Linked DNA regions of Callithrix jacchus. The protein of the gene in region 2 interacts with the protein of the main gene of each other region in a pairwise test. Links are inferred from orthologs where the notes say so. Each region holds a gene or a part of one and is shown on either strand. Other genes may lie near its edges. The genes, in order: KLC3, CCNH, DUSP12, SSX2IP and ZNRD2.

What was found.
Region 1: the proteins of CCNH (region 2) and KLC3 interact in binary tests that used the Homo sapiens proteins (3 or more experiments, as listed by UniProt). The two-hybrid records come from large-scale screens. The link is inferred for Callithrix jacchus from reciprocal best matches to the Homo sapiens genes CCNH and KLC3.
Region 3: the proteins of CCNH (region 2) and DUSP12 interact in binary tests that used the Homo sapiens proteins (3 or more experiments, as listed by UniProt). The two-hybrid records come from large-scale screens. The link is inferred for Callithrix jacchus from reciprocal best matches to the Homo sapiens genes CCNH and DUSP12.
Region 4: the proteins of CCNH (region 2) and SSX2IP interact in binary tests that used the Homo sapiens proteins (3 or more experiments, as listed by UniProt). The link is inferred for Callithrix jacchus from reciprocal best matches to the Homo sapiens genes CCNH and SSX2IP.
Region 5: the proteins of CCNH (region 2) and ZNRD2 interact in binary tests that used the Homo sapiens proteins (3 or more experiments, as listed by UniProt). The two-hybrid records come from large-scale screens. The link is inferred for Callithrix jacchus from reciprocal best matches to the Homo sapiens genes CCNH and ZNRD2.

What each region holds. Positions count from the first base shown.
Region 1 is NC_133523.1:39,522,941-39,529,724, forward strand, and holds the start of KLC3 (kinesin light chain 3), read left to right. Parts: upstream 1-3,074; 5' UTR 3,075-3,177; coding exon 3,178-3,319; intron 3,320-3,676; coding exon 3,677-3,942; intron 3,943-5,225; coding exon 5,226-5,456; intron 5,457-6,012; coding exon 6,013-6,079; intron 6,080-6,449; coding exon 6,450-6,669; intron 6,670-6,784. UniProt on the Homo sapiens protein: Kinesin is a microtubule-associated force-producing protein that may play a role in organelle transport. Plays a role during spermiogenesis in the development of the sperm tail midpiece and in the normal function of spermatozoa.
Region 2 is NC_133503.1:123,462,547-123,468,663, forward strand, and holds part of CCNH (cyclin-H), read left to right. Parts: intron 1-51; coding exon 52-174; intron 175-1,988; coding exon 1,989-2,062; intron 2,063-3,160; coding exon 3,161-3,371; intron 3,372-6,117. UniProt on the Homo sapiens protein: Regulates CDK7, the catalytic subunit of the CDK-activating kinase (CAK) enzymatic complex. CAK activates the cyclin-associated kinases CDK1, CDK2, CDK4 and CDK6 by threonine phosphorylation.
Region 3 is NC_133519.1:21,596,719-21,602,356, reverse strand, and holds the end of DUSP12 (dual specificity protein phosphatase 12), read right to left. Parts: intron 2,204-5,638; coding exon 2,042-2,203; 3' UTR 1,795-2,041; downstream 1-1,794. UniProt on the Homo sapiens protein: Dual specificity phosphatase; can dephosphorylate both phosphotyrosine and phosphoserine or phosphothreonine residues. Can dephosphorylate glucokinase (in vitro).
Region 4 is NC_133508.1:121,862,152-121,868,268, forward strand, and holds part of SSX2IP (afadin- and alpha-actinin-binding protein), read right to left. Parts: intron 5,489-6,117; exon of another isoform or gene 5,294-5,488; intron 2,641-5,293; coding exon 2,466-2,640; 3' UTR 1-2,465. UniProt on the Homo sapiens protein: Belongs to an adhesion system, which plays a role in the organization of homotypic, interneuronal and heterotypic cell-cell adherens junctions (AJs).
Region 5 is NC_133511.1:122,652,208-122,658,083, forward strand, and holds ZNRD2 (protein ZNRD2), read left to right. Parts: upstream 1-2,854; 5' UTR 2,855-2,887; coding exon 2,888-2,906; intron 2,907-2,997; coding exon 2,998-3,149; intron 3,150-3,275; coding exon 3,276-3,360; intron 3,361-3,776; coding exon 3,777-4,120; 3' UTR 4,121-4,154; downstream 4,155-5,876. Other genes in the region: FAM89B (leucine repeat adapter protein 25), read left to right, coding at 5,070-5,360, 5,744-5,876. UniProt on the Homo sapiens protein: Might play a role in mitosis. Antigenic molecule. Could be a centromere-associated protein. May induce anti-centromere antibodies.

The DNA.
Region 1 (6,784 bases), on a different chromosome or scaffold from region 2:
GGGCCTGTGATTACCAGCTGTGCAGTTGTGCACCCTGGGCTCCCTGTAAATGTGGGACCTGCTGTGTGTCTGGGACGCAGCCTGAGTGCTGGGTGGCTGTGGTTGAGCGTGTTTGTTGCTGTGGTTGTTGGTCTGGCCGTGGAGTGGTGTGTGTGTAGCTGTGTCTGAGGTTATGGAGGGAGGTTGTTACATTGGCAAAATTGTGTGAATGGTCGTGGTTGTAAGGGTGACTCTTGAGACTGGTTGTGAGTTCAACCACTGATACGTGTGTGTGAGGTATGAGAATAGGTATGGTGTGATCTGTAATCTCAACACTTTGGGAACCTGAGGTGGGAGGATTGCTTGAACACAGGAGTCCTAGACTAGCCTGTGCAATATGGTGAGACCCCATCTCTACAAAAAAACAAAAATTAGCTGGGCATAGTTTAGTTTTTTAAAAATTAAAAAAAGCTTGGCTGGGAGTGGTGGTTCACGCCTGGAATCATAGCACTCTGGGAGGTCAAGGCAGGTGGATCATTTGAGGTCAGGAGTTCGAGAGCAGCATGGACAACGTGGTGAAACACCATCTCTAAAAATACAAAAATTAGCCGGGCATGGTGGTAGGCGCCTGTGATCCCAGGTACTTGGGAGGCTGACGCAGGAGAATCATTTGAACCTGGGAGATAGGGTGTGGTGAGCCGAGATTGTACCCATTGCACTCCAGCCTGGGCAACAGAGTGAGACCTGATCTCAAAAACATAAAATCAAATTTTAAAAAAAGGCCAGGTGTGGTGGCTCACGCCTGTAATCCCAGCACTGTGCGAGGCCAAGGCAGGTGGATCACGAAGTGAGATCAAGACCATCCTGGCCAACACGTTGAAACCCCATCTCTACTAAAAATACAAAATATTAGCTGGGTGTGGTGGCATGCGCCTTTAGTCCCAGCTACTTGGGAGGCTGAGGCAGGAGAATCACTTGAACCCAGGAGGCGGAGGTTGCAGTGAGCCGAGATCCTTCCATTGCACTCCAGCCTCGGCGACAGAGTGAGACTGTCTCAAAAAAATTTTTTTTAAATGTTCACACACATCAACATCAACACATATATACATATATCTAGAGAGAGAGATCAGTGACAAGTCTGTGGTGCACAAAGTGTGCAGGCCCCTTACTGTATGTGATTGCGCGTGTGTGACATAGAAACTGCTGCACTGCTTATGGTGGACGCAGTGCCTTGAGCGAAGTGTGCGTGAACGTGGCATCCCTCCGCGCACATCCACAGCTTTCTGTTCTGACAGCGGAACTGAATCGCAGTACACAGTGTGTAGGTGTGGGAGTCCCTGCTGGCCAGGCCTGGAGGGGGAGGAGGAGGAGGTGGGGAAGCTGGCGGGGGCTCCAAAATGATCCTGGGAGTATGTGAATCTAGAGGTGTGTGAGGCACTTTATGGGGCTGTGTGAGTTTGGGAGACAGTGTCAGGGTCAGGTGCACGGAGATGGTCTGAGTGAGTGATTTCACGAGTGGGAGAGACAGTTAGTTTCTGCGTGAGTTTTCCTCTGCTTAGACTAGCATCTTTTTCTTTTCTTTTTTTTTTTTTTTTTTGAGAAGGCATCTCACTCTGTCATCAGGCTGGAGTGCAGTGGCACCCTCTCGGCTCACTGCAACCTCGGCCTCCCAGGTTCAAGTGATTCTCCTGCCTCAGCCTCCCAAGTAGCTGATATTACAGGCACCCACCACCACATTGAGCTTAATTTTTGTATTTTTAGTAGAGAGGGGGTTTCACCATGTTGGCCAGGCTGGTCGCAAACGCCTGACCTCAGGGGATTCACCCGCCTCAGCCTCCCAGTGCTGGGATTACAGGCGTGAGCCACCATGCCCAGCCTTGGCTTTTATTTCTGAAAATATACCTGTGAGTTGGGTGGAATTTCTAAAAGGGAAGTGTGTACAGATTGTTTTTGAAGGAACAGTATATGTGTGTGTGCCTGAGTGTGTTGTTAGGTTGTATTTCTAAAAGGAAAATGTAGGTGTGTGTAGAGTTGTATTTTTAAGAGGAGAATGTATATGTTGATTTTTTTTTTTTTTTCTGTTTTAAACTGGGTCTTGTGCTGTCGCCCAGGCTGAGCGGTGCAGCTCCAACCTCCTGGGTTCAAGCGATCCTTCCACCTCAGCCTCCAGGTATGCCACCAACCACACCTGGCTAAATTTTTGATTTTGTTTGTAGAGATGGGGTCTCGCTGTTTCCCAGGCTGGTCTCAAACTCCTGGTCTCAAGTGGTCCTCCTGCCTCAGCCAGAATTCCAGAGTGCTGGGAATACAGGTGTGAGCCACACACCTGGCCTCCACTGTATTTCTAATGAGGGAGTATGTGTGTGTAACTATTTTTGGAGGGTACATGAGTATACCATGTTTTTTGTTTTGAGACAGAGTCTTATTCTGTAACCCAAGCTGGATTGCAGTGGCACGATCTGGGCTCACTGCAACCTCCACCTCCCAGGTTCAAGAGATTCTCCTGCCTCAGCCTCCTGAGTAGCTGGGACAACAGGTGCCCACCCCCACACCCAGCTAATTTTGTTTTGTATTTTTAGTAGAGATGGGGTTTCACCAGGTTGGCCAGGCTGGTCTCAAATTCCTGGCCTCAAGTGATCTGCCTGCCTCAGCTTCCCAAAGTGCTGGGATAACAGGCATGAACCTCCATGCCGGTCCCTGTCTTGTATTTGAGAGAAGGGGACATTTGTGTGTGTGTCAAATTGTATTTCAGAGAGGAGAATGTGGGTGTTGCATTGTGCCTTTAAGAAGGGAGGGTGAGGTGTGTGAGGTGTGCTTCTGAGGAGTGTGTGTGTCTAGGAGGACCCCAGAGGCATCGCCAGCTAAGCTGTGACCCACATACAACCACATGAAGTCCCATGGAGGGGCCCTGCCCACTGTGAGCTGGGCTTCAGACCCTCAGCTGTCCCATGGCCAGTGTGACATCCCTGGACCACACCTATCACATGTGTGTCCCAACAGGCCCTGGGCTGGCTGAGCCTGTCTGTGATGGAAGAGGGTGGAGCCCCTGTTACCTGGGAGCCGACACATGACCCCCTCCTCTACCCCCCCAACCTAGAGGCCTCCTGGGCTTCCAGGGGCCCCAGCCCCTCAGCCTTCTCCTCCCACCACACCCCACCCCCAGTGGTCTGACTGGTTCCCAACAAAAACACCCTAAGAATGAGCTCACGCAGAGGCTGCCGCCTCCACATGTCCCGCCCCACTTGCCCGGCAGAGGAGGGTGCCTCTCCCAGGTCACACGGCCGACCTGGAGCTCTGGGCCCAGAGATCCAGGGGCCTTGGGGTGGGGAAGGCTGGGCAGGTGAGCTGAGGGAAGATGGGGGACCCCCAGGCCAGCTGTTTGCCCTCTCTTGGTTAATTATGCATAGGATTTGGGCAGAACCCTGGGTTGGGAGGACAGAGGAAGGTAGGTTAGAATGTTCTAGATGAGAGCTGGCTAGGTGGGGGGCTGGGGGACAGTCAGCTGAGGGCTGGGATGTGTGTGGAAACTGGGATGCAGAGGGTATGGAGGCAGAGGGCTGGCCAGAATGGGTGGAGTGGGGAAGAGATAGGATGGGGAGAAGTTAGGGGTCCTGATGGCTATTATGGGAGTAGAGGCTGGGGCCAGCTTGCTTGGCCCTGGCAATGATTCCCTGACCCCCCCACTGTTACCCTCCAGAAGCAGCAATGTCTGTGCAGGTGGCAGCACCCGGAAGCGCGGGGCTGGGCCCAGAGCGCCTGAGCCCTGAGGAGCTGGTGCGGCAGACGCGTCAAGTGGTACAGGGTCTGGAGGCGCTGCGGGCAGAGCACTGTGGCCTGGCAGGGCACCTGGCGCAGGCGCTGGCGGGACAAGGCCCAGTGGCTGGCTGGGAGATGCTGGAGGAAAAGCAGCAGGTGGTGAGCCACTCGCTGGAGGCCATCGAGCTGGGGCTGGGCGAGGCCCAGGTATGAGGGGGGCTAGGTGGGGGGCTGGGGGACAGTCAGCTGAGGGTGGGGGAGGGCCAGGTATGAAGCTCACTATTGCAGAGGGGCACACTGGGAGCCTGAAGCCGGCTAATCATGAGATCAGGAGTTCGAGACCAGCCTGGTATCATAGTGAAAACCCATCTCTACTAAAAATTCAAAAACTAAAGGATTACATGCCTGTAATCCCAGCACTTGGGTAGGCTGAGGTGGGCAGATCACGAGGTCAGGAGTTAGAGACCAGCCTGTCCAACCTAGTGAAACCCGGTCTTTACTAAATATTCAAAAATCAGCCCAGTGTTGTGGCAGGCGCTTGTAGTCCCAGCTACTCAGGAGGCCGAGGTAGGAAAACAGCTTGAAGCTGGGAGGCAGAGGTTGCAGTGAGCGGAGATTAAGCCATTGTACTCTAGCCTGAGCAGCAAGAGTGAAACTCCATCTCAAAGTAAAAACAAAAAAAATTAGCTGGGCATGGTGGTACGTGGCTGTAGTCCTAGCTACGCAGGAGACCGAGGCAGGAGGATCACTTGAATCTGGGAGATGGAGGTTGCAGTAAGCCGAGATTGTGCCACTGCACTCCAGCCTGGGTGACAGAGCGAGACTGTCTCAAAAAAAAGTATGGCAGAGCCGGGTGCGGTGACTCACACCTGTAATCCCAGCACTTTGGGAGGCCAAGGTGGGTGGATCATGAGGTCAAGAGATCGAGACCAGCCTGGTCAACATGGTGAAACCCCGTCTCTACTAAAAATACAAAAATTAGCTAGGCATGGTGGCACATGCCTGTAGTCCCAGCTCCTCAGGAAGCTGAGGCAGGAGAATTGAACCTGGGAGGCGGAGGTTGCAGTGAGCCAAGATCATGCCACTGCTCTCCAGCCTGGGTGACAGAGCGAGACTCCACCTCAAAAAAAAAAAAAATGCCAGAGAGGCGCAATGCTGCAGGGCGAGGCCTGGGGAAATCAGGCCTGGGAAGGGGAGGCTCCAGGCCAGAGACCGAGTCCCTTGGCAGCTTTATGGGGTCCTTGTGACAGGGACCCCTGAACCAGATGGCATTCTTCAGCAAACTGAGTCCTGGGGTGAGTGTGGGGGTGAAATCAGAGGGGCCCCTGGGAAACTGAGGACACTGGAGCTGCATTGGTGGAGTCTCTGCAGAACTTGGGGTATTGTGCATAGCAGTGAGGGGCTGCAGCCTGATTTGAGGCCTGGGCTGGGTTGTGGGCTGCCTGGAAGGGTAGGAACCAGCATCGACTTAGGACCCCCACCCCGGGCAGGTACTGCTGGCCCTGTCAGCACACATGGGTACACTGGAGGCAGAGAAGCAGCGGCTGCGGGCACAGGCCCGGCGGCTAGCCCAGGAGAACGTGTGGCTTCGGGAGGAACTGGAGGAGACACAGCGGCGGCTTCGGGCCAGCGAGGAGGCTGTGGCCCAGCTGGAGGAGGAGAAGCACCACCTGGAGTTCCTGGGGCAACTGCGACAGTATGACCCATCTCCAGAAAGCCAGGTACCACAGGCAGGTCAAGGCGGCATGGGGGCTTCACCCTTCACAGAGCCCGACAGTCCCCCCAGACCCTCCTTAGAGTCCTACAGTTCCCCGACTCTCCTTATATTTCCCAGACCCTGCTTTGAGTCCTATAGTCCCCCAGAACCTCCTTAGAGCCCCCCAACCCTCCTTAGAGTCCCTCTGTAGAGTCCCACAGTCCCCCAGACCCTCGTTACAGTTCCCCTGACCCTCTGGAGAGTCCCACAGTCCCCCCAACCCTCCTTAGAGCCCCAGTCCCCCAGAACCTCCTTAGAGTTCCTTAGAGTCCCACAGTCCCCTAGAGCCTCCTTAGTGTCCCACAGTCCCCAGACCCCCAACCCTCCGTAGAGCCCCCAGACAGACCCAGCAGCACTCCTGTAGACACCCCCACCAGCTGCTCCACGAAGTTCCCAGAACCTCGCCTGTCCCCCGGGGCCCCTCACACTCGTGATAACCACCTCCCTCAAACCCTGAGATCCAGGGCCCCATCTCTGAAACCCACACACCTCCTGACCCCCCACTTTCCATGTCCCTGCAGCAGCCTGAGTCCCCGCCTCGCCGAGACAGCCTGGCCTCCCTGTTCCCCAGCGAGGAGGAGAGGAAAGGTGGGTGTCAGGGGGTACATGCCCTGAGGGATGGCAAGGGCGGGGAGGGGGCTCTGAGCTGCCAGACCCTAGTCTCTGAGCAGGGGAGGGGGAGGTAAGGGCAGGTTCAGGAGGACCCTGAATGTGACAATGGGCAGGGTAGCCCCCCTGCACGGCAGGCCCTGTATTCACATTCCACAAGGCAGGTGGGTTGCTGTGTTCCAGCTGGTTAGATGCTAGTGACCCCAATCTTAGAAGTCAGTGTTGGGGGTAGGGCTATAGTTTCAGGGACCAGTTGGGCAGTCTGGCAGTTCTGGGCAGTGTCCCCTCATGCAAGGCTGGAGGAGCAAGAGGCTGCGGTTACTCAGAGCCCACCCCATCCCCCACTTAGGTCCTGAGGCTGCAGGAGCAGCAGCGGCTCAGCAGGGCGGCTACGAGATCCCCGCCCGACTTCGAACCCTGCATAACCTCGTGATCCAGTACGCGGGGCAGGGCCGCTATGAGGTAGCAGTGCCTCTGTGCCGCCAGGCCTTGGAGGACCTGGAGCGCAGCTCCGGCCACTGCCACCCTGACGTGGCCACCATGCTGAACATCCTGGCGCTGGTGTACCGGTGAGTGCTGTGGCTGGCCGTCACTGGGGGAAGGAACGGCAGGGACCGATTGGGTGCTTGTGTTACCCACTCTGCCAGCATGGAGCATCTGGGGAGGTCAGGGCAGGGGACAGCC
Region 2 (6,117 bases):
TTTTACAGTTGTTTAATTCACTGAACTTGTGTTGTAATTGTTGACCTAAAGGTTCTTCCGAATGATCCAGTCTTTCTTGAGCCTCATGAAGAAATGACACTCTGTAAATACTATGAGAAAAGGTTACTGGAATTCTGTTCAGTGTTTAAGCCGGCAATGCCAAGGTCTGTTGTGGTAAGTTACGGTAGTGATGAAATATGATGTCCTTTAGTTGGCTTGTGAAATCTGACCTCTTCTAAATTTGTAGCTAAGTTCCCAGTCCATTTTAGTTTTAAAAATCACCTTTGTTACATTTAATTAGCTTTTGACACATTATATATTTTTCAATACAGGCCTTAAATCATGAATTGCTGTATCATCTCTTCCAACGTATTTCAAGTCTCATTTTGTAGTAAAAAAAAAAAAAAAAAAAAGAAAATTGAGGTCAGGTAATGGTATAAATAAAGAAAATTAACTTACTTTCCTCTAAGTTTTCAACTAGTGAGCCTTAGAACCAGAAATAGAACTAGACTACTGCTTTTCCAACTCTATGACACCCGGTAGATGTTTGAAATAATACATTCATTCATCATTTGTAATCATATGCTCCAGCTGAAACTGATGCCATAAGATTTTTTTTTTAAGCTTTGATTAGTAGAAGCTGGAGTTTTATCTTTGGTTAAAAAGATTGTCATATTGTTTCAGATGTATGATTCTGAGGACCTGTGGGTTTTTTTTGTTTGTTTGTTTGTTTTGCTGGGGTGCACAACAGTGAGGAGAAACAGGTAGCTGAGATTAAAAAGCTGAAAGATAAAAAAGTGTAATGGGGGAGTGTTAAAAATGTTTTTATGTTATTTTATCAGGTTTGTTGTGAAGACTAAATGTAAAAGTCTATTTTAAGTAAAAGTCTGTTAAGTTTTAAAGCTATATACAATGCGATTAGCTTCTAGGAAATTATCTCCATTTTTATTGTTGAAAAAACATTGAAGTATGTCGAAAATATTAAGTCATATAACTTATTTTTTTTTCCATATGAGATATCAAAGATTCAGAGAGTTTTAGGTGTACTCAGTTTCTGTCTTCAGATTTGGCTTATTCTTACAAAAGAATTGTAAAATGAGGCAGTAAATTTAAGTGATTTTATCAAATGAAGAAACCTTTAATAAACTTCTTTATGGAATTTATCTTTAAATAACATGTTTGTGATTGGTGAATAATTTTTTGTTTTAAATAATGACAAAACTAAACTTTTAAAATATTTAAAAGGAAATATTTTTTCTATCATAAAATAGATAAGTGGTTATTTTATTGGTTCCAGCCAAGTGATATAATGGTTAAAAGTACAGGCAGGTGTTAACTTGAATTCATTCCTGTTCCTTATTAGCTGTGTGACTTAGATAAGTCAGTTAACCTTATTGATAACTCAGTTTCCTTCTCTGTAGAGATAGTAATACTTCACTAAGCTGTTGTAGGGATTAAAACATGATGATAGTTTAGAGTCTGGCACATGGGATGCATTCAGTAAATAGTAGTGCTGCTTTTGCTGTTCAGTTAGCAGCAGTGATCACAAATCATGGAGTGGACATACGGTTATGTAAAAAATATGAAGTGACTTTAGAGAGAAGGCTTATTACCTTACCCATGTATTTTTGTTAATATTTTTATAAGATTGGTTAATCTCTGAACATTTGTATTTTTTCTCCTTGAATTTAATTCAGGTCATTTTTGGTACTCTGAATTCTGAAACACACATACCCTATTTTTAAATCCAGTGACCATAGGAAGGATTAGCCAGAGTAGTCTGGGGATAGACAACCAAAGGACGGGAAAGGGTCTTTTGGCTATGGCATTTATGTAGTAATTCATCAATTTATTTTGATTAAAGAAGAATTAATATTAGCATTTTTATGGGTAATCTCTACAAAGAAACCTTTCCATAAGTAAATTCTGTTTCACAAAATTTAACAGGTAACATTTGTGAATACTGATGATTTTTTTTTAACCCTTAGGGTACAGCTTGTATGTATTTCAAGCGTTTTTATCTTAATAATTCAGTAATGGAATATCATCCCAGGATAATAATGTGAGTATGTCTGTCTAATTTATTTTCATTTAAAGAGACTTTTATACTCTTTGAGTATTTGTGGAAGGAGAGTTGTGTCAGAGAACTGACTTCCTAATCTAGGTCATTTAGACTTGAATTTTTTTTTTTTTTTTTTTTTTAATTCAGAACTTAAGATCTCTATTTACCTATACTTCGGTAATACTGATGGCATCTGAACTTCAAGTTGTCCAGATTCAAATTTTGTTTTTCTCAATTAGGTGCTTCTCTAATATCTCTCCCTGTTAGACGCCTAAGTTCTTCCAGTTGTTCAGACCGAGAATCATTTGTAGTGGCCCCTCTCCTTCCACATGCAGTCAGTGTTTGGATGCTATAACTTCAGATTCATTTCAGTTGAACAAAGGTCTCTTGTTTCTGCTCTCTGCTGAGCACTGTGTCTATCATTAAAGTTGAAATTAGTATGAGACTCATCAAAGAGCTTGTTCTCAATGACAACGTACCTGTTTTCTCTTTTCGATTCCCATTTCCTCCAGTCAAGATTAGGCCCTTGATCTCACTTCCAACCTTGATTTTTGCAATAGCTTTTTTAACTAGTTTCTTATACTGAACAGCATGAAGTGGCCAGGTAAATTTCACACATTTGTCCCTGAAATAATAATTCCTTATTCAGATGCCCTCAGAGACTTCCATGGATGGGCTTCCACAAAGTTCCTTAAACCTACTTTTCTTCCCATGCTTATATGATATATAAGCGGGTATTGCTTTATTTTTAACTCTTTGTCTACATGATACAAAGTATTCTTATTCCTCAGTTAATTTGTTTTTCCAGATACTTAGGTTGTCCTGCATGACACTGTCATTGAGTGAATGATGGTTGAATGCCATGGCAATATTAGTTGGTTTGACCTGATTTTATAGTCTGCCTTATGTCTCCTAATGGATGAAAGTGTGAACAAAGAGCTATCTTAAAAATATATATATATTCCTGCAATGTCTACCAGTCACTTTTGAATATCAGACAATTATAGAATATACTTTTAGAAATAAATTAGATATTTCTCAAAGTATATGCATGTTGTTCCACCCCCCACCCCCGTACCTCCTTATTTTTTCCTCTAGGCTCACTTGTGCATTTTTGGCCTGCAAAGTAGATGAATTCAATGTATCTAGTCCTCAGTTTGTTGGAAACCTTCGGGAGAGTCCTCTTGGACAGGAGAAGGCACTTGAACAGATACTGGAGTATGAACTACTACTTATACAGCAACTTAATTTCCACCTTATTGTCCACAATCCTTACAGACCATTTGAAGGCTTCCTCATTGACTTAAAGGTAAACTTGATGTAAAATAAACGAACACATCGCCTTTCCTATTCTTTAACCAAGAGAATCCAAAATTTTAAAACCCTTAATTGTTATACCTTGGATATACCACAGGCCCTCGATGACATGTGGATCTGACCTGGTCATCGAGGGCAGTTGTTTCCAAACTTCTGTGGGCATGAACAGACATCTGGAGAAATTGTTAACTCAGATTGTTGGGTGGGACTTACAGAGTTTCTGATATAAGTGATCTGCAGTTCTGCTCCAGGGACGTAATGAAGACCATGGAGAATTTAGAACAGTGCCTATAAAGGTTTGAGATAACTCTTCTGACTTTGAATTATATTGTCATGGATATTGGCATGATTTAAAGAACCATAAATTCTTAAACTTAAACTAGAAGATTGCTAAGTCACTTCTATTTTTAGAGGTTTGTGAACTTGAGTCACTATGTAGGCATCAATAATATATGTAAACAAACATTGACAAAAGCAACCTTTAGATTGTTTTGTTTGGCTCTGACAGAATAGTTGGATAGTCTAAGTCGAGTCAAACAGAAATCAGAAACTGGTTTATTCATATTAGTTCAGTGGCTCAATTTGGGTACTTTTTATGTGCCAGACTTTGTGCTTGAGGATGTAACCAGAAACAGGAGAGGAACAGTCTTAACTTTTGGGAATTTTACAGTCTAACAGTTTTAGATAATCATATCCAGTGTGCTAAGTGATACAGAGAGGAAGATATATTTTAGAAGGAGATAACAGATTAAGGGGTAAGGAAAATATTCTGAGAATGTATCATTTAAAATAAAATTCAGAGTAGGAATAGGTGAGAGAAGAACATCCCAATCAGAGACTTCACTGGTCAAAAGCTCAAATTCAAGAAACCATTCTTTGCTAAAGAACCTGGGCAGAGCCTAGCAATGCAAGGGGAAGAATATCACAGACAACAACTACCAGTGTGGAAGGCAAAGTCTAGAATGTGGAGACAATGATACACATTTCCAATACAGCAAAGAGAAGCCAGTGAAAGGTTTAAATTTAGAGTGGCATAATTAGATTTTCAGCTTTAAAACATCATGTTGGCAACCTTATGCATCAGGCTGCATCAGGTATTTATTGCACATCTGTTGTGTCAGGCATACGTGGAGAAAGGATTTGAATGAATTAAGGGAGTAATGGGGTACTGTTAAAGGATTCCAGGCAAAAGATGGTGGTGAGCTTCACTCATATGAAGTTCATGAACTCTGGGCTTGAGTTACAGTCTGAATATCCCTTATCTGAAAAACTAGGGACCAAAAGTATTTGGGATTTCGCACACACACACACTCAAAATCCTTATATATTTTGTTCCACTTTAGGTTCTGGGGTGCATGTACAGAACATGCAGGATTGTTGCATAGGTACATACATACATGGCATGTGGTTTGATGTCTCCATCCCTCTGGTCACCTGTATCTGGCATTTCTCCAAGTGTTATCCCTCCCCATCCTCCCTACCCCTCTATGTCCCTCCCTTATTCACCCCACAACAGACCCCATTGTGTGATACTCCCCTCCCTGTGTCCATGTGTTCTCATTGTTCAACACCCGCCTGTGAGTGAGAACATGCAGTGTTTGATTTTCTGTTCTTGTGTCAGTTTGCTAAGAATGATGGTTTCCAGATTCACCCATGTTCCTACAAAAGACATGAACTCATCATTTTTTATGGCTGCATAGTATTTTATGATTTATATGTACCACATTTTCCTTGTCCAGTCTATCATCAGTGGGCATTTGGGTTGGTTCCAGGTCTTTGCTATTGTAAATAGTGCTGCAGTGAACATACAAGCGCATGTGTCTTTATAATAGAGTGATTTATAATCCTTTGGATATATACCCAGTAATGGCATCTCTAGGTCCTTGAGGAATCGCTACACTGTCTTCCACATGGTTGAACTAATTTACACTCCCACCAACAATGTAAAAGTGTTCCAATTTCTCCACATCCTCTCCAGCATATGTTGTCCCCAGATTTTTTGATGATTGCCATTCTAACTGACATGACATGGTATGTCAGTGTGGTTTTGATTTGCATTTCTCTAGTGACCAGTGATGAACATTTTTTCGTATGTTTGTTGGCATCATATATGTCTTTTGAAAATTGTCTATTCATGTCCTTCACCCACTTTTGAATGGGTTTGTTTTTTTTCTTGTAAATCTGTTTTAATTCTTTGTAGATTCTGGATATTAGTCCTTTGTCAGATGGGTAGATTGGAAAAAATTTTTCCCATTCTGTTGGTTGCCGGTTCACTCTAATGATTCTTTTGCTGTACAGAAGCTCTGGACTTTAATTAGATCCCATTTGTCTATTTTGGCTTTTGTTGCCAGTGCTTTTGGTGTTTTAGTCATGAAGTCCTTGCCTGTGCCTATGTGCTGAATGGTATTGCCTAGGTTTTCTTCTGGGGTTTTTATGGTGCCAGGTCTTATGTTTAAGTCTTTAATCCATCTGGAGTTAATTTTAGTGTAAGGTGTCAGGAAGGGGTCCAGTTTCTGCTTTCTGCACATGGCTAGCCAGTTTTCCCAATACCATTTATTAAACAGGGAATCCTTTCCCCATTGCTTGTTTTTGTCGTGTTCGTCAAAACGTTCGTTGTAGCTGTGTGGTGTTGCCTTTGAGGCCTCTGTTCTGTTCCTTTGGTCTGTTTCTCTGTTTTGGTACCAATACCATGCTGTTTCGATTACTGTAGCCTTGTGGTATAGTTTGAAGTCAGATAG
Region 3 (5,638 bases), on a different chromosome or scaffold from region 2:
CACTTTGGGAGGCTACGGTGGGTGGATCATTTGAGGTCAGGAGTTCGATGACCAACATGTTGAAACCCCGTCTCTGCTAAAAATACAAAATTAGCGAAGCATAGTGACGCACACCAGAATCCCAGCTACTTGGGAGGCTGAGGCAGGCAAATCGCTTGAACCCAGGCAGCGAAGGTTGCAGTAAGCTGAGATTGTGCCATTGCACTCCAGCCTGGGAAACAATAGTGAAACTCCATCTCAAAAAATAAAAAAAAGAAAAATGATTACATGGAGATTGCCAAAGGCTTCAGGTCCAATGTTAAGATTTTTCTCAAGAATTTTCCGTAATATTCCCATATATTTAAAAATTGAGCTAGGCATTTATTAAGAGGATCATTATTCACAACATATTTTTGTATTTTAAAATTACTCCCACTATGGTGTTTATTATATACATAGATACATACATATGTGTAAATATGCAAAATGTCTTGAGGACATGGACAATATTTTTCTTTATTAGTTTTTTTGGAGTAGTGTCCTGAGCAGCTGGGACTACAGGTGTGTGCCACCATGCCTGGCTAATTTTTTATTTTTAGTAGAGATGGAGCTTCACCATGTTGGCCAAACTCCTGACTTTAACTGATCTGCCTGCCTTGGCCTCCCAAAGTGCTAGGATTACAGGCGTTAGCCACTGCACCTGGCCTTTATTAGTTAATTGTGATTCTTGTAAATGTTCAAATACCTAATTAGGTCCAATTGTAATTATTGAGTAAAATAATTCTGGGTTTCTATAGATCAGGTTAAAAATCTAATCTGAACATATTACCTTTTCCAATATTCACATATTGGGCTAAAAATGACTTGATATATAGTAACTACATTTGTTTTATCATTAGAAACACATCTAACAGTAACACATTTCTTTATATAAATCACTTCAAAAGAGATCTCAAACACTTTTCTAAAAATATAGATAACTGGGATTACTGAACAATAATAGGAAAATTGCATTTTAATTAGTGTTTTACTAATGGCCTTTCCTTTATATTTCTAAGAAAAAAAATCCAGATATGTATGGGTTTATTAACATCCCTTAAAGAGGCCAGGTGCAGTGGCTTTCACATCTGTAATCCCGGCACTTTGGGAGACCAAGACGGGCAGATTGCCTAAGCTCAGGAGTTCAAAACCAGTCTGGGGAACATGACAAAACCCTGCCTCTACTAAAAATGTTAAAAAATTAGCTGGGCGTGGTAGCAGGCACCTATAATCGCAGCTACTTGGGAGGCTGAGGCAGGAGATTCACCTGAACCTGGGAGGCGGCGGTTGCAATAAGCTAAGATCCTGCCACTGCACTCTAGCCTGGGCAACAGGCTTTTTTTTTGTCTCAAAAAAAAAAAAAAGAAAATAAAGAAAGGAAAGGAAGGGGAAGGGAAGAGGAAGGGAAGGGGAAGGGCAGGGGAGGAGAAAGGAAGAGGGAGGGGAGGAGAAGGGAAGGGGTTAGGGGAGGGGAGAGGGAGTGAGAGGAAGGGAATGGGGAGGGGAAGGGAAGGGAAGGGAAGGGAAGGGGGAGGGGAGGGAAAGGGAAGGCGAAGGGAAGGGAAGGAAAAGGGAAAGGAAAGGAAGAAAGAAAGAGAAATAATTCCAAAATATGTCTCAACGAATCTGCTTTACATTTCTGAAAATAAAAGAATACCCATTTAAATTTAATAGTTTCAAATTTTTTTGTAAATAATTTTGTCTATACAGACCTTAAGATCATGTAACATTCCAAAAATCAGAACTTAAAAAAATACATGAAATGTAGACAGTATCTGGTTATAAAAGATTTTAATATCAAATACAATGTATATGGCTAAAAGGTTTTGGTTGCCACGTAAAGTATTCTACTTATATCACGTAATAAGCTAACAAAGCATAGTTTCCAGGTTACATCAAGTGATTTTATCTTCTCACATTTCAAATGAAATGCTGATAGCCTAAACAATCTGCCATGAATGGTAAGAAGTAAGGGCAGCACATATCATCTGCAAGTTTCTTCCGAAGCTGTAAAATACCATGTTCATATTTTTCTTGTTTGTGATCCCAAAATAGGCAATATTTTCATTTCATCCACTCTATTCTTATGTATTTGAAAAGCAGGTGTTATCCATCTACCACACGAGCACTGTTCACCATACCAGTTGAAGGAACCCAATTTGGCACTGCATTTTGGACAAAGAAGCTGAAATAAAGCAAATGTGTTACTTTATTCATTCGCTTTATATAAAACAAGTCATTATCTTTGGTATTCAATACAGGCCATTAAAACAAGTAAGGCGCAGTCCCCGCCTTGAGTTTATAATCTAATCACTAAGATAAAATGCATTGGAAACTTACTGTAATAGATACTAGACTACAATTACTGCATAGGAAGAATGTTGTATTCAGGAAGTTTAGAGAAGGAACAGATGTAGCTTGAAGGGAGAAAAGTGAAGCTTGTGATATAAGGAAAGTTTCATGGATGTGGCATACATATATAGCTTTTAAATCAGTTTATAATTTAGGATTTCAAATGAAAATCATCACAGCTAAAGTACAGAAAAGCATGTTAGGATTTTCGTGCTATATTACTAACCATATGTATTGACAGCATATAAGTCAGATTCTTGGCTATTTAAAGACAAACTGATATTCCAGGAAAATAGCTAAATCAAAAAAAAACCTAGTAAGTCAATTTCATTTTCTTCTTCATTTTTTTTTAAATTTGAGACGGAGTTTCGCTTTTGTTACCCAGGCTGGAGTGCAATGGTGAGATCTTGGCTCACCACAATCTCTGCCTCCTGGGTTCAGGTAATTCTCCTGCCTCAGCCTCCTGAGTAGCTGGGATTACAGGCACGCACCACCATGCCCAGCTAATTTTTTGTATTTTTAGTAGAGACAGGGTTTCACCATATTGACCAGGATGGTCTCAATCTCTTGACCTCGTGATCCACCTGCCTCAGCCTCCCAAAGTGCTAGGATTACAGGCTTGAGCCACCGTGCCCGGCTATTTCATTTTCTTCTAATGTACTTAGTTACAGCATTATTTTTTATGTTTAGCTCTTTGATTTGTGCATGATATAAGGTAGGGGTTTTTATTTTTAATCTTGAGCTATAGAAAATCTAGACATAAAACTCAGAAGTGGGTTAGGTGCGGTGGCTCACACCTGTAATCCCAGCACTTTGCGAGGCTGAGGTGGGCAGATCACCTGATGTCAAGAATTTGAGACCAGCCTGGCCAACATGATAAAACTCTGTCTCTACTAAAAATACAAAAATTAGCCAGGCATGGTGGCAGGCACCTGTAATCCTTGAGAGGCTGAGGCAGGAGAACCACTTGAACTCGGGAGGCAGAGGTTGCAGTGAGCTGAGATCGTGCCACTGCACTCCAGCCTAGGTAACAGCTTCCATCTCAAAAAAAAAAAAGTTCAGAAGCCACAAATAAAAATCTAACAAATTTGATTATGTAAATATCTTTCATTTTTTAATATGACAAAACATACAAAAAAAGTGAGAAAAGCAATAGACTGAAGAAAATAGTTATAATATATTAGATAAACTATTAACATCTAGAATATATAAAGTTCCAACAAATCAGTAAGAAGGCCGGGCACAGTGGCTCACACTTGTAATCCCAGCACTTTGGGAGGCTGAGGTGGGCAGATCACGTGGTCAAGAGATTGAGACCAGCCTGGCCAACATGGTACAACCTCATCTCTACTAACAATACAAAAATTAGCTGGGTGTGGGGACGCACACCTGTAGTCCCAGATACGTGAGAGGCTGAGACAGGAAAATCACTTGAACCCAGGAGGCGGAGGTTGCAGTGAGCGGAGATTTCAAGATTGTGCCACTGCACTCCAGCCTGGTGACAGAGTGAGACTCTGTCTCAAAAAAAAAAAAAAAAAAAAAAAAATCAGTAAGAAAGAGTTTATAAAACCCATAGACAAATGGGCCCGGGAATATGAGAGCAATTTATAGAAAAGTAAACTATAAATGGCTGGTAAATATATAAAGATGGTGGTCGATGACTATTTTCACAAAATTCCAATTAAACATTTTAGGATTAACATTTTTTACCCCACAGGTTGACAAAACATTACCAGTTGTATAGTATCTATCATGTCAAGGATATGGGGTACATGCATTCTGTTACTGAAACCCAAATTTATATGAGTATTTTGGATATTGTACTAGAATATCACTAATATTTAAAACACACCTTCTTTGAACCAGGAATTCCACTTCTAGGTACATATTCTATAGAAAAAAATTCAACTATGTATACAAAGAAGTATGCACAGGATTCAGAATCTTACATAAAAATGTATTTAACTTGGTTGGAGTGTGTGTTTGTTTCCCAGGTTAAATAAAATCAGAAAGTCAAAATCACAAGCCACAAAAAAGAAAAACTGATGAATTAGATATAACCGAAATTAAAAACTCTAACTGCTACAAATAATGCCATCAAGAATGGGAAGTTAGGGCCAGGCGCAGTGGCTCACACCTGTAATCCCAGCACTTTGGGAGGCCGAGGCGGGTGGATCATGAGGTCAAGAGATCGAGACCATGCTGGTCAACATGGTGAAACCCCGTCTCTATTAAAAATACAAAAAATTAGCTGGCCAAGGTGGCACGTGCCTGTAATCCCAGCTACTCAGGAGGCTGAGGCAGGAGAATTGCCTGAACCCAGGAGGTGGAGGTTACAGTGAGCCAAGATCCCGTCATTGCACTCCAGCTAGGGTCACAAGAGCAAAACTCCATCTCAAAAAAAAAAAAGAATGGGAAGTGACTGATAATGTGTACATTATTTTTCGGGTGCTGTGAATGGTAATGTGATAAGGTTTGGCCCTGTGTCCTCATCCAAATCTCATCTCAAATTGTAATCCCCACATGTGGAGGAAGGGAGGTGACTGGATCATAGAGGCGGATTCCCCCATGCTGTTCTTGCGATAGTGAGTTAGTTTTTATAAGATCCAATGGTTTTATAAGTGATAGCTTCTCCTTCACACATGCTTCTCTCTCCTGCCGCCTTGTGAAGAGGAGGCCTGCTTTCCCTTCCAACACGATTATAAGTTTCCTGAGGCCTCCCCAGCCATGCAGAATCATGAGTCAATTAAACCTTTCCTTTATAAATTACCCAGTCTCACATACTATCTTAAAGCAGTGTGAAAATGGACTAATACATGATGGCGGTTGCAAAAAACACTGTGAATACACTTTTAAAAAACCACTGAATTGTACACCTTAAATAGGTAAATTGTATGTCCTGTGAATTATACTATAATAAGGTGGTTTTTTTAAAAACCAGCATCATCTGAAAATGTGAGTTTGATCATAGGGTACCACCTTCTAGGGAAGACACTAACTGATAAACAGTTTCCTCATGCATAAAATGTAAATATAACTGCTCTACCTATTTTATAAAGCTATGGCATTCTTCAAATGATATAGTTAAAGGGTTTCATAAAATAGCCACTATACAAACTTTTATACAAATCATACAAACATTCAAAATCATTATTAAGATTATTATTATAGAATACCTTCACATTAGTATCAAATAAACCTAAAGGAGAAATGTGGCTGTCATGGCGCACTCCAACCAAGTTAAACACATTTTTATGTAAGATGTCAC
Region 4 (6,117 bases), on a different chromosome or scaffold from region 2:
AATTTCAGTCATAATTTTTTTCTTATTACAGACTGCAGATGCAAACATTTAATAGTAAACAAAATGTTTATCTCAATTTTTCTTTGACATTTTTATGCTTTGAAAATTCAGAATGGATATATGCCATGTAAAAACAAATGAAGTATAAAATATTTCAGATTTACATTACTGATAAACAAGAAAACACTTATCAGGAGAACTTACAAATGAAGTGCACTCTATTACCATCATCTATCATGATTAAATGTGAGATCAGCACAGCTATATTATTTGTACATTGCCCACAAATACCTAGAAAGAGATGGGAAGCAAAATCCTAGGAGTTTTATGTGTGGAGTCCGGGGTTTTCAAATAAGACATCATTCCAACATTCTGAGATTACAGTGACTGGGGATCATTTTGGAATTAGAATGTTCAACAAAAGTAATGTTAAGTAAAATGTACAACTTCTGGATCTATACAGACATCGAGGGTATAATGAGTTTGGCTTTCATTCTGCTGTTTCTTTCACACTTTATATTTTAAAGTAAGTTTCAAGGAACTTTTCTTTCCAGTTTGAGAATTCAACCCACTTTAAAATGGAAACAGAAAACAAAAAACAGATGACCTCCATTGTCATGAAATATGAGATTTACTTTAAAAATCAGAATGTTTACTTCTTACAAAGTATACCATGCAAAACCCTGGGGGGAAATTCTTGACAAATGTATTCATTAACTGTATTTAAAATTTGTGCCTGCCTTTCTTTGACCATGTTACTGCCATAAAGCAAAAAAATAAACACATCCCAGCTAGATTTCTTCCTTTAGAATATGGTAGTGTCTGTGATATTTTGTACCATGTAGAGTATTTTAAATAGCAAAGAAGTGACCATGCATCAAGCTAAAGGTAGTGAGTGACTAATGCTCAAGAGCCAGCTCCTTGAGACTATAAATATGGTTACTGTATTATGAATATATCCACTAATGTCTCATAAGATCCTCTTAATGATATCCTATCAGCCCTGAAAAAATGGCTGCTGCTAGGCAACTCCAAAGAGTTACATAGTTAACGTATAGTGAATGAATAACACAAATAGGTTTTTTTTTAATCATACGAATTTAAAATAGCCACAAACAGGGTGACTGCATGTAAGTGGCTGAACTATTAGTAAAGGGGAAGGTAAATGGGCCTAAACTACAATACTTAGCAAGGACTGGATCTGTGCAGGCGTCTATGTACAGAGACAAGCAGGGTTAGGCACTTAAAGCTTTTTGATGAAAATCCTGGGGAAGAGCTGAGCCTATATTTATATTATACTATCAAAACAACAATATACTTTTCATGAAGAAACATGCAATCAGAAACATTAGAGACTGAAGAGAGCCTAGGAGTTTTCTGAAAATGAAATGGCACGTTTTTCCAGAGTATCATAATATCTCAATTATAAAATTTGATGGTTTTACATTATCATATTTCTTTAGTGGTAAATACCTCATTAAAAAAGTATTAAAAAAATTATTGACAACAAATACAAAGCCCTAGTTAGTACAGATATTACTATACTGGCACCATCTCATAAGGAAAATATCACCATATAGATATCTTAAATATCTTCTATTATCCAATATCTTAAACCAATTTCTTAAATTGTTCTATTCAACGGTACTTTTGTCTTGCCCCTATTCCTCTATCAATAGACCTTTTAAAAATTATAATATCCTACATATATAAAATAAAAATCTAATGTCATAAAAATCTCAAAAATGTAATGTTAGGAGTGTTGATTATCTAAAGACTTCATGGAATAGCTTTAAACATTTATTGCCCAGATGTATTAAAAAGAATTCTTAAATGTAATGATATCAATGGTCCTAATACATCTGTAAACAGAATATCACTAAAATATTTTTACCGGCATGAAATACTATACTTATGGAGGTGTGAAACTTTAAAATCTTAAAGTCTCTTAACATAATCATGTATATCTATGTACAAAACATACATAAATTTCACTTTATTTAAAACATATGAAAGAGGTAATTTCAAATCACACTAAACATAATAAATATAGAACTCGCTTTGTTAAAAATCTACAGTATACATTCAAGTAAAGGCTAAACTTCCAATGCCAATTATATTTGAGACAAAATTAAACATTTACAATAATCAGTTTCCTAAAAGTGCTATTTTTAATACCTATAAGAGGAAACTCATTCTAGTGCTTTTGTTTCCATCCAAACATCTATACATTCCTTTATTCACAGAACCAGATGCTTCTGTTACTAAAAATACATATCCAAAGCTTTTATATCCTTTTAAATAGATTTAACATTTCAACTCTTTGGGGGAAGACAGGGAAGTCCAAACAAACGACTTAGACCATCTTAAGTTATTAGAGATAATTGACTTTATGACACACCCTGTTTCAACTTAGATGTGAGATTTGATGAATATGTTAATGAAAAAAATTCCAGTCCACATGTCTAAGGTAAGTCATCTTTTTCTACATGAGAATTTGTGTAGGTCAAGGAGCATCCACTATAGCAACCTTCCTGTGATCCAGGTCTTGATGCCACACTCCATTTCTGATTTGTACATTCTCCTCCAACCTGATTTGGTTTAATATCTTCAGGAGTTATATTCAGTACATTGATTGAACTGTCGGAAAAGGAAAGGCAGATCTTAGTGACTCTCCTCTGCTCCTTTTATACTGTATACATGCCTGATGTCTAAGGTCTCATCACTTCCATGTCTTGTGCTAATTTACATAAATTTGGAGGACACATGATCAAAAACATTAAAGTGTTACAAAATGGTGTAATTTATCACTTTTATCCTATCTATTCATCTATTTATTTATCCCTTTAGCCTACTTTGATGCATGTTGTCCAACTGAAGCTTAAGGTAGAGAAGCTTAAGGGTTCTGAAAGCTAATATTCCAAATGTCTCCATTTTTCTGCCACTATTATTTATCTTGTAATGCTTTCTTTCTTTACATGTCTACTTGTTAAAGCATCCTTTCATCTATCCACCAAGACAGAAACTTAATGAGTGACTTCAGAAGTGGCTAAAAGACCAGACTCTCTAGTGAGATGGTTTTGGTTCAATCAGCCTCAAAACAAAATAAATCTGCTAAAATGGTAACTCTAAAATCTATGCAATTGAACCAACAATAATACATTTTTCATCAAGTGAATATGTTAGGTAATTTTCTTAAAAACTTTTCTAAAGGTACACTTCTTGTGACTTTTGTTTACTAACTCAACCATATACTGTGGCAATCTTTAAAAAATATTAAGTTCCTTTTAATTCTAAAAATCTAAACCAAAAACCTAGTTTAAAATTTTACTTTAAAAAAAAAAAAAAAAAAGGCTGGGAGCAGTAACTCACAATTGTAATCCTAGTACTTTGGGAGGCTGAGGCTGAGGCAGCCAAACAGGAATTCAGGAAGAGCCTGAAACCCTATCTCTACCAAAAATTAGCTGGGATTAATGATGCATGCCTAGTTTGATCATTTGTACAGGGATTCTGATGACTAAATTACTATAAGTCATCATAATCCCTGTACAAATGATTAAACTAAGTTTTGTAAGTAACTTATGCACAAGTCTCCTTGCCCGGAATTTAAGGCACAGCCTTTATGTAAAATTCCATTCTACAGTGAAGGAGCAATGAGGATGTTGTAGAAATTAGCTACAAATACTCCTAATTATTTTGTTGTAATATTATTATTAATATAAACCAAGATCTAAATGCTTCAGGAGCAAGAGAACCAAATTTATCAAATAATTTAAAATGTAAAGAACCATGTCAGGAATCACAGCTTCCCTATTAGTTATAAAACTCTTTTCTGTTTGCTTTATTCTTGGAGGCTAGTTAACAATGAATAGCTTGAATTCCTTTAAGCTCCAAAATTGTTTCTATACCACTGGTGTTGTTGAATGGAGCATTCAGAAACAGAAAAGCATGTTTATATTTGTTTACATATATTTTTATTTTTTATTTATTTTTTGAGACACAGTCTCCACCCGGGCTGGAGTGCAGTGGTACAATCTTGGCTCACTGCAACCTCCCCCTCCTGGGTTCAAACGATTCTCCTGACTCAGCCTCCCGAGTAGCTGGGATTACAGGTGCCCGCCACCACACCTTTTATATTTTTAGTAGAGACGGAGTTTCATCATGTTGGCCAGGCTAGTCTTGAACTCCTGACCTCGTGATCCACCTGCCTTGGCCTCCCAAAGTGCTGGGATTACAGGTGTGAGCCACCGTGCATGGCCTATATTTTTATTTTCATAGTCTGTCACTAAATGTTTATAATGTAACTAGGTACTGTTTTTCAGTGCTTCTAATATATTAACACTTCACTTGCAACTCCCTATGATTTAGGTACTAAATGCTGAACTTTATTAAACACAAAACAACGCCTTCAAGAAATACTTATGCCAAATATTTCATAACTAAAAACAATTATGTAAAAAGCTAAATATTTAAAATATATAAAAACAATTGAGACAATTACATTATGCTATCTCTTAGATATAAAATGCATTCTTTGTAAATGGTGGCAGAATTTGCATCTATATCTATATAGATAGGTCTGATTGGTCAAATCTGCAAGTCTGAATAACATTCTATGTAAGAAAATACTAGGAGCTTACACATTATCTTTTGACTGTAAAATAAATGTTCACTTCCCATATCCAACTCAACTATTGGCTCTAACTTCAAAATAAATCCCAAATCCAAGCATTTCTATCTTCACATTATGACCCTAGTCCAAATTACCATCATCTTTTGTTTCCACTCCAATAGTGCCTCCTAACTGAATTTCCTGGTTTATATTACAGACTCCTACAATCTGCTTTCGACGTTATAAAACAGTACTCTTTATAAAACTTGTTTTCGCTCTGTTGCTTAAAACTAATGTTTCTTCTGTTCCCCTTAGAACAATATTTAACCTACAAATGCACACTAAAATATTCTGTAAATAAAATCCCAGATGTGTTTGGGGTGGGGAGAGCAAGCTGAGTGGGATTACATATGAACAATACTGATCATGAGTTAGTAAATGCTGAACCTGAGTGACAGGTACACATGGGTTCATGATCTGATTCTCTCTGTATCTGTGCATATTTGAACTTTTACATTTCTCCATCCTCATCTCACACCTCTAGGTCTTGTTCACTATGCTCACCATCACAAATGCATGAAGTGTGTCCCACCTCAGGGTACCTACACTTGGCTAGAGTGCTCTTACCTAGCTCTCTTTTTCATTCCCTCTAACACTTACTTGGGGTCCTAATCCCCTCACCTCTTAAAAGTGAACATAACTTATAGGGTGTTCTCCTCCTCCTTTTAAGTTTCATTTCTTGTTTTAAACTCCATCTATTTCATAGTTCTTGGCCCAAGGGCCAGCTGGCTTATTTGACACTTAGTTCCACTCCAGTCTCTAGCACAGGCCAAGTTTGTTTCAGCTCTGACTGGCGCTTTCCAAGGCCCTTGTCTCCTATTTTTAATTAAGAGCAAAGAGATTATCACCACACTTCCCAACTTATCTCTCTAATCTTTTCTATTCTCTGTCTTACTAGGAATGCTCTACCTGCTTCCTCTGCTTCATTTAAAACTAAACTTGGAACTGGCTCTGAAGTAGAGTATTGTTGTTATCTCAGAAAATGATTTAATAACTTGAGATAGAGGAAAATATCAAAATGCAGCAATTAAGAGCAATATACGGGTTTCCTACGGTGGAGAGCCACGTATTTTTACACTGTCATCCTTGGGCACAGATCTTTATCACTCAAGATGAATAGGTTTTTTCAGTTCTTTGCCCTTCAACAACAATAAAATGGGCATGCCAGAAAAAAAAATTTAAGATATGTACTCTACAAAAACTGTCAAAACAACATCCTTCTATTTAATACAATTAAAGCACTTTAAACATTAACTCCTATAATTAAGACTGTATTCTAAGTTGTATCTTAAATGTGAAATAAAAAGACATACATACATACGATTTACCTCTAAAAAGACAACGAACAGATCTACTTGTTCACTCTCGTATTCCCAGCATCCAGCAGTGTCTATATATACTGGACCCTCAACAAATATTTGCAGAATGAATAAATCATCTATTAA
Region 5 (5,876 bases), on a different chromosome or scaffold from region 2:
GACCCTGAGCTTAGGAAACTCAAAGCTAGTAAGCATGCCTGGCCTCTGCTCTGAAGGGAGACACTATCTCCATCCTCCGTGGCTATTCCCTAGATAAACAGCTTTGAAGCCGGGTGTGGCTCATGCTTGTAATCCTAGCACTTTGGGAGGCTGAAACAGGCAGATCGTCTGAAGTTGGGAGCTTGAGACCAGCCTGGGCACCATGATGAAACCCTGTCTCTACTAAAAATACAAAAAAAATAAAAAAATTTAAAAAAAAATTAGCCAGGTGTGGCAGTGCACACCTGCAATCCCAGCTACTCGGGAGGGTGAGGCACAAGAATCACTTTAACCTGGAAGGTGAAGTTGCAGTGAGCTGATACTGCGCCACTGCACTCTAGCCAGGAGATTAGGGTGATATTTGTTCCCCCAGCGCCCTCCCTGCAGGCTGCAAGGGACCAGGGGCTTCGAGTCTCCGCTGTGGGCCACAGCTCGTGGGCAGCCCTCCCCGGTTATGCCAATGGAGCAGTGTGCACTGGAGTGATGTCCCTCAGTCGCTAGCCCCAGTGGTTTCAGCTACTTCCTGCAGAGGCCCTGAGAGCTGAAGGAATTTGGATGGGCATCATTTGAGTCAGGCATCACTACTGGATGGGACTCTTTCATTGCTCCCTGTCACTGAGTCCCCTCCGCAGACCCTGAAGAAGGACTGTCATCTCCCCATCCTAGTGGCAGCAGCTTTAGACACTCAGGGCCACACCCTCCTCCTGGCTCTTCCCCACCACACTCCTGGTTTTCCTCTCTGCTCCCTCCAGCTGCTCTTTCTGGTCTTTGGCATGACTCCACCTCCTCTGCCTGACCTGGGAATGGTGACCTTCCTGGGGCACCCTGGGCCCTCTTCTCTCCACAGTAAGCCCACCCTTTCCCGCTGTTGTAGATGCCCCCTGTATAACCCCAAGCCTCTGTCTCCAGGCCAGACGTCCTGTCTGAGCTGCAGACTCCCGAGTTTAGGAGCCTCCACTTGGAATGACTCACAAGCATGTCAAACTCAGCAGGGCTGGAACGGAGCTGTGGACCTTGCCCGTGTTTCCAACTCCTCGGCCTCCCTCTTCCTCGCCCATCCGGGGATCAGGCCAGGAAGTGGGGGCCATTCATGCCACCCACCTCCCCAGCACCCCCAGTTCACCCAGTGTTTATATCTCACCTCCCAAATACATCTCCCCGGGGCCAAGTGAGATCTGCTCTCCTGGGATGAAGGCAGGGCGCCCTGACACAGTCCCACGGCAATGAATACATGGGGGATAATACCCCATACAAGGTTGTCATGAGGAATAAATTGAAGAGATTAAGTGGGAGGATTCATCTAAGGGTCTTTGTAGGTGCCAGGCAGCAGAGACAATTGAGTGGACATCGCCATGATGGTAAAATAGTTCGTGCACTGAAGAATTCACAGTAGGGCTGGGATCTGAAGATGGTAATAACCTGGGAGTCTGTGCATGCAGGCTGAAGTCCAAGAGGTGGTTCAGAGACAGTTCCTCTAGTCAGCCTAAGCCTGGGTGCTGTGGTTCACCGCTGTAATCCCAGCACTTCTGGAGGCCGAGGTGGGAGGATCGCTTGAGTCTAGGAGTTGAAGACCAGCCTAAGCAACATGGCAAAACCCCATCACTGCAAAAAAATACAAACAAAACACAACAACAACAACAAAAAAACGGTAGCTCTAGTCAGCCAGACAGAAACGACTTGGAGTACAGACTCTAAGGTACGCAGCTGCCCAGGAGCCTGGCTGGTAGATGGACATGTGAACGGGGCACAGGGCTCTCTAGGTGAGCAGGAGGCAGCAAAAACGACAGTTCTAGGGGGACTACGTGGGAGGAAGATGGGGCCAGGAGGAGGGCACTTCAGGTCAGATTGAGGGAGCCTGTGCCATCGCGAGGGGATTGCTGATGTAATTATGAAAGTCCAGCTCCTTTAACACTGCCCTGGTGTACGACCTCGAGCCCGTGCAGACCACATCTGAGGACCCCTGCCTGCCCTGTCTGGCTTCTCCTAATAAGGGAGAGGATGCATGTGGAAAAAGAACACAGGAGAGAGAGAAAAGCACCAAGGTCCCTGTTCAGAGAGCCCTGGTAATTTTAACTTGCAACTCACCCAAGAAGAGCCTAACGGTCGAAAGAGTATGTAAGAAGCCCCCACCCGACCCTGCCCAGCACGCAGCACTCAAGGGAGGCTGTAACCGGAATGCGCGTGACCGGTACAGCGCTATTCAGTCCGCAGGCTTTTTGAGGGTTTCAACTTCAAAGAAAGGTCGGCTTCGGGGCGGACTTTGCTTCAGTCCCAGGCCTCGGGAGGCAGCGGGGAGACAGATTGGGACACCGAGCATGCACAAGGGGAGGGGTCTTGAAATAGGCGGAAAGCGAGAATGCTCCCCTCCGGGCCGGGTTTGCCAGGCGAAGTGAGAAGCACTGAGGCCTGAGGAAGCTCCACGCGCGCGCAAAGGGCCGCTCGCTGTGATTACTGGGGTGGCGATGGTTGTGAGGACGCTGCTGCCCCGCCTGTGCCGAAAGGGAAACCCCAGGGGAGGCGGAGGCCAGCGGGGACCTGTGGTCCCCTTCATTCACGACGGAAAGGGCTCCCAGATCTTGCGACTTGGAGCAGAATTACCAGAGACGCCCGTCCCGAGGCCCCGAGCGTCGAAAGTTTCAGTCCCCTGGATTCCGGCTGACGACGCGTTCCCCAGGCAGGTTCTCCGCAGCGGCCCACACGCCCCACTGCGGACTCAGCGAGGTGTGAGGACCACGATGAGGCGTCATTTCCGTCGTGATCCGCGGCCGCTGTGGAAGGGGCGGAGCCGCAGCGGAGGGCGCTCCGCTTAGACGTCATTTCTGGTGAGCCCAGCGGCGGCCACGGCAACATGGCCCTGAACGGCGCTGGTGAGGACTTGGGCGGCAGGGGCTTGTGGCTGCGGCTACGGGAGGCAGCCCCCTGCGGCAAGATCCCAGTCTCTATGCCTCTCTTCCCCAGAAGTCGACGACTTCTCCTGGGAACCCCCAACTGAGGCGGAGACGAAGGTGCTGCAGGCGCGACGAGAGCGGCAAGATCGCATCTCCCGGCTCATGGGAGACTGTCTGCTGCGCGGTTACCGCATGCTGGGCGAGACGTGCGCGGACTGCGGGGTGAGGCGAGACCCGGGAGAGTGACGGGATGGGGCGCAGGCCAGGCCATTCAGCCCTTCCTCGGCCCTCCCTTCTGGACCTCAGCGCCGCGTCTCATTCCGGCCCCATGTGCTTTTTGGTCCGTAGACGATCCTCCTCCAAGACAAACAGCGGAAAATCTACTGCGTTGCTTGTCAAGAACTCGACTCAGACGTGGATAAAGATAATCCCGGTGAGGGTAAAAAAAATAATCCGGGAGAGGTGTGTGATTGGCGGAGAAGCGTGATGAGTGGTGATAGAGGCCGCAGAACAGTAGGCCTGGGAGGTGACAGTGGAGTCTCTGGGTGGTGCAGAGGTAAAATGTTTTCTCTTTTAGGCTTTAAAGAGGACTATTCACTCAGTAAGAGCAGCAAGCACCTTCTGTGTGCCAGCCACTGCGCGAGAGTCTGAGCTCAGTCAGACCCAGTACTGATGGAGAGTTGAAGCTAGGGCATAAATGTGATACATAGTAGAAAGTGGATAAGTTGCCTTATAGAGGGACAGGGAAAACACCTCAAGCACAGAAAGAGCAGAGCAGAAAAGGAGATGACTCAGGGCTGAGGTGGGCCAGGCATCCTGACCATTCTACTCACTTTCTCCTCTTTTTAGCTCTGAATGCCCAGGCTGCCCTCTCCCAAGCTCGGGAGCACCAGCTGGCCTCAGCCTCAGAGCCCGCCTTGGGCTCTCGACCTGCACCCCAGCCCCCAGTACCTCGTCCAGAGCACTGTGAGGGAGCTGCAGCAGGGCTCAAGGCAGCCCAGGGACCACCCCCTCCTGCTGTGCCTCCAAATGCAGATGTCATGGCCTGCACACAGACAGCCCTCTTGCAGAAGCTGACCTGGGCCTCTGCTGAACTGGGCGCTAGCACCTCCCTGGAGACTAGCATCCAGCTGTGTGGCCTTATCCGGGCGTGTGCGGAGGCCCTGTGCAGCCTGCAGCAGCTGCAGCACTGAGAGTAGCCCCTGAGAAAAACCCTCTAGAAAAACAGCTGTTCCTCTGTGTGGTTTGTTCTTTTCCTGGTTCTGAGTGTGCATGCCAGCCGCAGCTCCACTCACTTTTTTCAACTTTTGGCCTCTCACCTCTCCACTCTCTGCTCTTCTTGACGCCCTGAGATGAATTGAGCTTGTTTCTGCTCAGTTTCCCCAGTCAGGATGAGGGATTAGCCAGAGGACTATGTGATGCCCCTTTTCTCAAGAAGAGGACATAGCCTCTTCAAAGGTAGGAGCCAGAGGGCTGGACCCTACCCTTGTCTCTGGCAGCACCTCTGCAACCTCTTCCGCCATCCGGTGCCCATTCCCCACCTGGAAGTGAGATTTTGGGTTCCAATCCTCTTGATAGAATCCTCTCTTCCCCTGAGCATTCTGACCCTATCAGCCTATCCCAGCCATGCCCACCCCAGGTACTCAGACACCGACCGACAGGAGTTTGTGGTGACCCCAGCGTCAAGGGGCACGTTAGGCACCAAGTGTGGACTTGCCAGTCTCCTGACTCCACTGTTAGATCATTTTCCTTGGGAGGGTAATGGACAGAACTGGGGGCGGGGGGGAGGCGGGGATCGGGGCGCGGCAGGGAGACGAGGCAGCAAAAGGAACCGCGAAGGAACCACGCCTGCCCCTTTTGGCCTTTCCCCCTCTCCGCCTCCCTTTTCCATCTCCCCTTGGGTGGGTGCCCCGCTGCCTTTTCTCAGCTTTGCGCGAGTGGTTCCACAGCTGTTGCCTTTTTAAGAGAGGCCCGGCCCATGCGGAGGGGGTGGGGCAGAGGCGGAGTCTGAGGAGCTTGGGAAGGAACAAAGCGCGGCCTGCGGGCGGCGGCTGGCTCCGGCGGGACCGCGGGGTGCGGGGCCTGCGGGCGGCCGCCCGGGCAGAGCGTTGAAAGGAAGAAGGTGGCATCGCCGGCCCGGCCATGAACGGGCTGCCCTCGGCCGAGGCGTCAAGCGGCGCGGGTTGCGCCCTGGCCGGGCTCCCACCGCTGCCGCGCGGCCTCAGCGGCCTCCTTAACGCGAGCGGGGGCTCGTGGCGGGAGCTGGAGCGCATCTACAGCCAGCGCAGCCGCATCCACGACGAACTGAGCCGCGCCGCCCGCGCCCCGGATGGGCCCCGCCACGCCGCGGGTGCCGCCAACGCGGGACCCGCAGCCGGCCCTCGTCGTCCTGTCAACCTCGACTCGGCACTGGCCGCGCTGCGCAAGGAGATGGTGAGTGGGTGGGCGCCGGACCAGCGGAGCGCAGACACCCAGACAAGCTGCCTGGGTCTCAGAGAACTTGCAGGCACAGGTCGGGTTCCAAGGGTTATGGGAACGATAATTAGTGATAGTTACCAATTACGGCAGTAGTTACCCTATATTTCCAGACGTCTTGATGACGTTACTTCATTTCATCCCGCTAAATGCATGAGAACCCCATTTTTTTAGGAGACGGTCAGGACTTGCCTAAAGTTGCAAAGCTCGCAGGTGGTGCCTGACGTCCACAAAAACTTTGTTTAGGAAGGTGCTGGGAAGATGGGCCCAGGATTCCAGGGCATGGGGCTGGGCTGGGGTGGCCTGGACCCCAACTCCAGCCCACCCTCAGTTGTCTGCAGGTGGGGCTGCGGCAGTTGGACATGTCCCTGTTGTGCCAGCTGTGGGGCCTGTACGAATCAATCCAGGACTACAAACACCTGTGCCAAGACCTGAGCTTCTGCCAGGACCTGTCATCATCCCTCCATTCAGACA